Drosophila melanogaster: one gene and its partner. The protein of the gene in region 1 purifies or fractionates together with the protein of each later gene. This does not show direct contact. Each region holds a gene or a part of one and is shown on either strand. Other genes may lie near its edges. The genes, in order: Cks30A and Skp2.

The links.
Region 2: the proteins of Cks30A (region 1) and Skp2 purify together in Drosophila melanogaster (affinity purification with western blotting, with the first as the bait; one study listed by BioGRID). This does not show direct contact.

What each region holds. Positions count from the first base shown.
Region 1 is NT_033779.5:9,329,073-9,332,750, reverse strand, and holds Cks30A (Cyclin-dependent kinase subunit 30A), read right to left. Parts: upstream 1,989-3,678; 5' UTR 1,697-1,988; coding exon 1,641-1,696; intron 1,569-1,640; coding exon 1,400-1,568; 3' UTR 770-1,399; downstream 1-769. Other genes in the region: CG17005 (uncharacterized protein), read right to left, coding at 2,718-2,820, 2,974-3,672. UniProt on the Drosophila melanogaster protein: Binds to the catalytic subunit of the cyclin dependent kinases Cdk1 and Cdk2, and is essential for their biological function.
Region 2 is NT_033777.3:4,334,123-4,339,545, reverse strand, and holds Skp2 (S-phase kinase-associated protein 2), read left to right. Parts: upstream 1-1,871; 5' UTR 1,872-1,939; coding exon 1,940-1,998; intron 1,999-2,203; coding exon 2,204-3,077; intron 3,078-3,137; coding exon 3,138-3,537; intron 3,538-3,600; coding exon 3,601-3,760; intron 3,761-3,816; coding exon 3,817-4,003; 3' UTR 4,004-4,135; coding exon of another isoform or gene 4,136-4,429; 3' UTR 4,430-4,667; downstream 4,668-5,423. Other genes in the region: CG1103 (uncharacterized protein), read right to left, coding at 42-502, 1,243-1,474; CG14645 (uncharacterized protein), read right to left, coding at 4,136-4,429.

The DNA of each region.
Region 1 (3,678 bases):
GGGGGCCAGTTCCAGTTCCATGCTGGTGGGAAATGAGTGTGGTATGTTCAAACTGCGGAAGAGCAGGCCAGAGGATGGGATGCTGCTAAGTGGCGGGCCACAGTTGACAGCGATTGCCGTAGTCCCTAAACGTGGCAGCCGGGCATTTGGACTCCCCAGCCCACTGGATCTGCCCCTTCGGATGGGTCAGCGCTGGTTCATGTGGAGAGGTGAGGTGCTGCCATGGGCGCAGTACACACATTCGGACCGGAACTGTCGATCTTCATTTTTGACACTAGAAATTTCACAAGTCACACACCAGCGAAGATTGTTGAGGTTGGAAATTGCACACCAATCGGGTTGCTATGTTGTGGTATATAAATAACTGAATAATTAGATTCTGGTCGGTGTTGATGGACCCAAGTTAATTCAGAAAATGCCTCGTAATGAGGATGAGCCTTTGGTGGGGGGCCTAAGAAGCGGTCGCGTTAGAACAAGCTCTAGCCAATATTGAATTGAAAAATTTATATCCATCTATATAGCTGGGAAGATACAGTAAACAAAACGTTGTTCTAATAATTAGGCGATTGCGTATAATGTTTACTTACACGATTTAAAACGAAGCTCACGATCGAAATATAAAATCCGAATACTTCTCACTCACAATTACATATATGCTGGCGCTTGTGTTTCTCTATAACCATTTGTAACCCAAAACTTGATAAGAGAAACATACAAATTAATTCGATTAGGGAAAACTTCAAGCAATCAACGCTTCAAGCCTCACCATACATTAAAAATATTTATTTTAAGTTCATTATATTATGTGTAAACATATGTATTATTGATTAAAAATTTCAAGATCACAAATCAGATTTCATTTAAGCTTAAAAGAAGTGAGCAAAATTCTTCTTTTCGCTTCCGTTTCGAAATGGCAACATAAAGTATGATAAAATTCGTGCGAACTTGAGGAATGATTCGGAAACGGCACTAAGGTGTACGAAAATGGCAAACATCATTAGCTCTAGGTGCTACATATATAAAAGGGGATAATGCGGGGCAAACATGGTAAAAAGAGAGTATTACAAATGGCAAACTTATCATTAGCTCTAGGTGCTATATATATAAAAGGGAATAATGCGGGGCAAACATGGTAAAAAGAGAGTATTACAAAGCACAAACAGCACAATAAGTAGTTTCTAGGGGATTCCTGAGTACCTATGATAATGATGATGATGATGATGTTGTTGATGTTTGTGCAACAGTTGGTTGTTTGTTTGGCAGCAACCACCACCACCGCCAATACAGAATATCGGCAGCAGCTGCCGGATATATAGGTATGTGCTACAGGCTATGTGGTTTCGAAGTATGTGTATCTGATGCAGTTGTTGTTGCTACTGCTGCTGCTACCGCCGGTTATCTAATCCGTTTTGGGTCGCCGAAACAGGAGGATGTGGGGCTCCGGCTTATGGATCATGTAGTGGATCCATCCGCGCGACTGCTGTACGCCAATTGATCGCCACTCGGCCTCCGTCATCAGATGAGTCTTGGGCACCATTTTTACCAGCTCTTTTGGCAAAACCACATGTCTGTGGGATAAGGGTATTTTACAGTTGCTTCTCTGCATCCAAATGGTCGCGGGCGACAAGGGCGACACTCACCTGTACTCGAACTGCTCATCGTAGTACTTGTCGGAGTAGTAAATGTCCTTGCTCATCGTGTCTGCGCCTGGAAATTCCAGGAATTTCGATGCAATGGAAAGGCGAAGTGCGCGCTGCGGAATTTGGCGTCTCTTTTTTGGACCGTCGAAGGCGGCTCCTGCGGATTCGATGTCGCAACTTTAGCCGTGGTGTTGAATCAATTGGCAAACACTGCAACTGCTTTTTAGGTACGAGTTTCTCGGTTTTTATCACTATTCAGGTTGATTATTGTGCTGGAATTTACGTTTGGTTTGGAAATTTTTAAAATCAAGTGACGCGCTAGATATAAGTGTGACCGTACTAATAGAATTGAAAATTACCATTTTTTACAGGAAATACAATTTCAGTGCTCTCGCTTAGTACGGGTTGGTGCACTCGCTATATAGTGATGGAGAGTGACCGTTTGGGTTAAATCGAAAAATTGCCAAGCGCGGGAAGTTCAAATTTTGAAGTTATCTAATATGTGTACGAATAATCTCATTGTTAACTTCATAGCAATAACAAAAGTAATTTTAATAAAAAAGGTTAAGGGCTATTTTTTTTGCATATATATTTATTTTTTATTTTTGTATTATATCGGATGCTAATGCTAAAGTTTTAATAAAATATTTACTGCTAAAAAATATCGTTTTTATATTTAAACAGTAATTAATTGCAACAGATTGCCCAGTGCAATCCAAAAGATTGTGGCTACACATGCGAATATTAAGATACTAAATGGGCGAACATTTGACCACTTGTAAGCTTTCCGCACAAACTAAAAGCAAGCGTTGAGTTATAAATACTCGCGTAAAGTTGTCTGACCATTGCTATTAAACTCCCCAAACGGCCACGCCCCCTGTCTGTGTGAAAAGCCCTAAAAGGCCGTATGCAGACACATAAATTCGGCAGCATTTTTGGCGTCGGCTTTCAACTCGTGCGAAATCTTACATAAATTTCCGGCGCGGACAACCCACAACGAAGTGGAAAGCATCGCGCGACCAGGAAAACCACGGATACGAATTGCAGGAGAATGCATTTATTTAACGGAGGGAACACCTAATGGTTGCGTTCGTAGTACTGCGACGGAATAAAGACCCAGTTCTTGGCCAAGTCGTTGATGGCCTCCTGCATCAGCCGGGACAGCAGATCCATGATGTGACTGGAAGTAAGGAATCTATTAGTATTTCAAATAAATTATTTGAATTATGATTTAAGGCTATTTTATAAACAAAAACCAGTAGATATTGCAAAGTGAAAAACAATTTGTCGTCTGGTTAAGTAATGCCCTATTAGACTCTCCACGAAAACTTACTTTCGATCAATTTCCGATGCTGCCTCCAGGGGAGTCGTCTTATCCGGGGACACCACTTGCTCGTAGGTCTTGACCACCTTCTGCCGCTTGCGCTCACCATTGATTCGCATGAACTTGGACTTGCTTAGGTACTTCCAGAATAGCTTCTCGAAAATGGTTATTCGCTGATCAATGGCCATGCTGAGCTCGATGATCTCGTTGGGATTGAGTTTGTTCTTGGCCACCAGTCGGGAGATCAGCTCCTTGCGCTCGGCCTCTTTGCGCTGCTCCTCGGTGTTCGGTGCAGGTGTCGATGGACCGTCACCCGAGCCGTTGCCTCTCCTGGCTTCCCCAGGACCAACTTGGCTACAGGGTTCGGGTCCAGCCGTGGGGTCGATCCTATCGCCCGGTTCCAGCTCCTCAGAGTCCAGAGCGGGCTTAATATTGGTGCGGATGTTCAGGTGCAGATAGACGTGCTCCACGTAGCTGTCCTCTTTCCATTTGGGATCGTCGATGGACTCCACCTCCTCCAGCTCCTGCTTGGCTATGATGGTGGCGCGATCGAGAATGCGGTGCACCTCCAGAACGATGGGAATGCGGCGGAAGTGGACCAGTCGGTCGAACACCGTCACTCTGATCTCGCATAACTTCGAGTGATGGCCTTTGAGGCGGAAAATAGGCGGATTGAACACTACCGCAAAAAAATCGTTGATTATGTAGCTGGAA
Region 2 (5,423 bases), on another chromosome or scaffold:
CAACTTCGTAGAGGTTCATTTGGGAATCCTTCTCGCCTTCCTTAGTACAGCATTATGGCGGTCTTGTTTTTATCGTCACATGGCGCCTCCAGGCATTGGCGGTTGCGGAGGCCGAGTCGCTGGGCGTACAACAGGATGGCGATATTCAGCAGCACAACGACGGTGGATACCACGACCAGGTAAAAGCTGTAACCAAGATAAGCCAGTCCATTGCTGTACCAGTGCTGCTGCTGCTGCTCAGTTAAAAGAACGTTGTGTATGAAATATTGGTAGAACTGCACGAGCCAAGCTACAAACGCCACTATTTGCGCCCCCGCGGCGCATATGTTGGAAGTCAGGAGCAGCATCATTGTGCCTCCTTTTTTGGCCGCAGAGGCTGACTTTAGGACAGCGGCGATGGCAGCCACAGCGCAGGCCAGCAGTGCGAAACCGGTGCCCAAGGTAGTAAGTAGCCAGAGCCAGAAGCTAGTGTCGTCATTTTCTGTCCGAACAAAGGTATACACTGAAAATACGGTGTGAAATAACAAAAGTTAAACAGGATTGCTTTAAAAATTTTATATTTTATTTGCATCTCCAAAAGCTGTTAAGCTTCCACGACGTTTTTATTCTATGTTGCATATTTGTGGCTCGCAATATAATACCCTTGCAATTTTAAAAATTGTAAACCCCAAATTTCAACCATATTATATAAAAGCAAGTAAAATATGGTTCCCTATGTCCTCGCTTCTATTATATTTTTTGCGCCAAAAATTTCAATATTTTTCAATTTTGTTAAATAGAATGTAACTTCCCTTTAGCCCTAAAGTTTGTTGTGTCACTTGATTATTAATAAGAAAAACAAAAACAATTTTGGTTTTTACAATTTAATTTTTAAGCATATCCTTAGGATCTGCAAGATAAATAAATGTAATCGAAAAGTATACATAATGGTTAATTTTTGGATATGTCTGCACTGATCATGAGTATTATTCGGGTATTTAATTTTATCAACTCGCCCGATTATGTTTGTGATCTTCACAACTAAACAAATTTAAAAGTAAATCTATTTTTAACAACAGTCTTATCCAGGACAATATCGGTTTTCAACTAATACATGCCCCAATAATCAGCACATTTTCCTAATCGTATATTCATTCAGAAAGCGTCCCAAGAAGTTTAAAGAGGCTAATTCACGATGCAGGTAATGAGAAGATCACTCTCTATCTAGTTTTCCCTGCTATCTAGGCTACTTTGATTGCTCACCATCAACCGAATTTGTGCGGACTCCGAATCCGGGATTCAGGTGGTAGTTGCCGAAGAAGAGTCCGAAGTTGAATTCACCCTTGGCGTCCGACGAGTTCTTGCGGCGTGGAGTGGCCCGCACCCAGTGATTAGTGGTCATGCTGACGAGCAAGAGGCCAATAGCCAGGCAGCTGCCAAAGAAGGTGGAGAACACTAACGCCCGTGTGTGCAAGCTCATCTTGATAATGCTCATGGAAGACCGGTGGCATATGTAGAAGGCTATGCTGTTTTCACCATTAAGAAATGTCTAGGGCCCGACTCCAGCTGCAGCGAAGAAAGTTAGTAGGAAACGTTAGTAAGCGGAGGACGCAATGCCAGTGGCCTTGCAGCGTATTGCTTACCCTTTTATGACTATGTCGGCGGGATCAATTGCAAATATAGTCTTTGTTCGCGGAACAAAAGATTGTTGCACAGGTAAACAATTAATATAAACTGTCTTGCCCTTGTTTTTTTCTCAGAAGAGAAGACTGAGCGGATATTTTTTCTCAAAGAGTACGGTAGCATTAATTTGGGATTTGGTCTGGCAACCACGGCCCGTCTAGTATATTCGATAACGATACAATTCTCATACCAAAATGGCTCGACAACCCTGGTTCCATGCAAAAATAGCGCGAAGTTTTTGTGTTTACGGCGGTGAAAAAATAGATTTCGTGTAAATATGAGCAGTCGCAAGCACAGAGGCTCCGAAAACATGGAAAATTTGTGCCCGGTGACCAGGTGAGTTTTCCTTTGCTTGGGGTGTGGGTTCAAGCAGCAGACCACTGAACTGGTCGCGTGACGTCACACGCGCCACAAGTGTCCAAAAGAGGTCAAGAAAGTAACTTATTGAATTGCAGGGTTCTTGACCCTTTCTTTCATCAGCCATTCTGCTGATGAAGCACGATCGAACTGCACACTTTTAATAAATTTTCGACTATTGCAGAAAGCGCTCGACTAATAAGAACCACGTCTCTGTTGTGGGCGCTCTAGTTTCCACTACGAAGTCATCGCACTACGAGCACCCTTCCTCGCCCTCGGCACTAACTTTTGAGGCCCTAGAAGAGATGGGAATCGGAATGCTTGATTCCGAAGAAAGCAGCTCCTCAGCCCTCTCGGCCATCGCTTTGGCGGTTAGCGCCACCAGCGACGACAACTCAAATGAGACGACCCCGTGCGCCAGTGTGTCGCGCATGGCGCACCAGCTACAGCACACGCAACGGCTAAGTCTGGGCTCTACGGGGGACATCACACTGGATAGCCCAGCTGTGGAGGATTCACTGTCGATGTCCCGTCAATCGGCCGAGAAGCTGCAGATTCTGGCGCAGGCTAAGCGCTCGTCGTTGGGTTCTGAAGGTAGCGGCAATTCAAACTCGCCCAGCAAACGTTTGCGCAACCCCCTGGCTGCAGTCACCTGTAACAACCAGATTGATGGGACTGCTTCGCTCAATTTTCAGCCATCAACCAGCAGGTTGGCGCAAGTTCGCCAGGCAAAAAAGCCCTCGACAACAAATATTACAACCCGAATAGTGGCAGCGGACAGTTTCTTTGTGTTTCGCACCCCGGCCATGAGTGCCCACATCAACAGCGGCATAAACTACTTTGAAAGACTTTCAGACGAAATACTACTTGACATCTTTAAGTGGCTCCCGAAGAAGACGCTGCTGCGCATGGCTACCGTTTGTCGACGCTTTAACCGCTGCTCTCGCGATGAGACTTTGTGGACAAGGCTAGATTTGGGTTTGCGGACAATTAGACCAGGTGCCCTCGAGCAAATTGTACGGCGGGGAGTCCTTGTAATACGTCTGGCCCAGACTAGTGTAAGTTACATCTAACATTATGTTTTCGGGAAACAAGAGCATCTAATCTTTGAACTGTAGATCCAGGAGCCCGCATTTGCACCATATACAGAAGTGTTTAGGACCCGATTACAATATCTTGACCTGAGTATGGCTTCCATCACCCGAAGCTCACTGCTGACACTATTGTCCCACTGCCGCCAGCTAAAGAAAATAAGCTTAGAGAATATTGAGCTCGATGATGACATCTGTGCAGAGATCGCAAAGAATGAAGCTTTGGAGGCGGTCAATCTGACTATGGCTAGTGGCCTGACGTCCAACAGTGTTCGCCTGATGATGGAGTCACTTACCAGCCTAAGCAGCTTAAACATATCGTGGACTGACCTAAGTGCGGATGCTGTTACGGCGTTGGTTACCCACATTTCCCCCAACTTAATTCGGCTCAATATCGCTGGCTGCCGCCGCGTTTTGTTTGACTCGCGTAAGTAGTTCCCACCGTCTTCAATGATATATTTCCTTTTTGATTTGAATTTAATTTGTTTAGATGTTGCAACCCTGCAAAAACGGTGTCCTCAGTTGTTGGAGCTTGATCTATCTGATTGCAATAGTCTAACACCAACAGTCATTACTGCAATTATGAAGTTCAAGATGCTGGAATATTTGTCCGTCTCCCGATGCTATCTTATTCCAGCAACCAAATTTATGTAAGATTTTTCCAGCAAGCGTCTGATTAATCCCTACCCAGTCATTTTCCTTGCAGTGAACTTAAGAGTATGCCCTCGCTAACCTATTTAGACATATTTGGGATGCTGTCGGACACTGCAATGGAAGTCCTTGAGAAACAACTGCCAAAAATGGGTATAAACAAATTCATTCACAGTTCGGTATCCCGCCCGACTGTTGGCACGCGACGCACCTCCATTTGGGGTCTGCGCACGCGCGACTAAGTCTCGACTCTGCTGCTTCCGTTACCATTTGAATTTGTTTTGCTGCGTAAGCCACCCGTAACGCAGTTATTTTATTCTCAATTCAACAACATAAATAATCACATTTAGCTGTTCTTATTTTTGTGCGTTTGGTCACTGATCCGCTTCGCTAAGGGGCTCCACTGGTTTCTCCCATTCCCATTCCTCCCAGTTGACGCAGTTCTTGAGACTATCCATGAATCCTGTTTCGCTGGGGCACTTGATTTCAATGGCTGGTTTGTTAAGTGTCTCACACTTCCAATACGATGTGGCATCCCAATTGTTGCGGAAAACTACAATGTCTAGCTCGGCTTGGGTCTTGCAACCCGGCTGTCCGTCACCATCATAGGCGAGGGCAATGCCAAAAGAAATCACTAGTAGGGAGGTTAGAGCGAGCTGAACCTTCATCTTTCAAAAAATGTTCTATGGTCTACTGGAAGTACTCGAAGCCTTTTATAGTTACATAGTTGCAGCGGTATAGTATCCAAGTGCAGCTACTACCAGAAAATGCTTTTATAAATTGGCATTAATGTAAACACTCGAGAGAGGAAGGAAAAGATAACAGTACTTGCCCTTGACTCCAATCTGTTCAAACTAAAAAAGGTACAATGAGTCACCCAATTTTCCATTTAAAAATTCATTGTTTTTATACTATATTAAATATTTAAGAAAATAAACAAAAAATATGTCTTTTATCAAGGAAAGCATAATCAAGCCAATTCAAAACAAAATCATATAGGGAAACGACAAATATAAATATTTTCGATCTAGTTCGTAATCATAGGTTCAAGAACAAAGTTCGTATTGGACAGCCTGCCAAATTTAAAGATTCAGCAATATAAAAGTAACTAAAGCAAGAGAGAAGGCTATGGTCGAGTTCCTCGACTATCAGATACCCGTCACCCGTGGCAACATGGGTCAACTAACTTGCGCTGGGTATTTGTCTCTAGAATCTGTATGCTTAATCTCAACCTTCTAGCTTTTATAGTTCCTGAGATCTCGACTTTCATACGGACAGACGTACATGGCCAGATCGGCTATTGATCCTGGTCAAGAATATATGTACTTCATATGGTCGGGAACGCTTCCTTCTGCCTGTTTCAACGAATCTAGTATACTCTATTACTCTACGAGTAACGGGTAGAAATATAAAATTGAAACTATTTTGAGTCATCCCTCCAATTGGTAATTTTTTTATATATTAACGGAAATTTAAAGTGCGTTACAAAAGTAAAAATTCTTTTGGTGCTAGTATGCTTAACGGGGTGGACATTTCGGCGTTTTCCACACTTCTTGGGAAATCACTTTAGACAAATTTGTACCAATGTCGGTACTTAATAGTATTTAACTATAACTTACCTTTTGCCTTTGGTGTGAATAGGCTATTAAGCCAAAGAGTAAA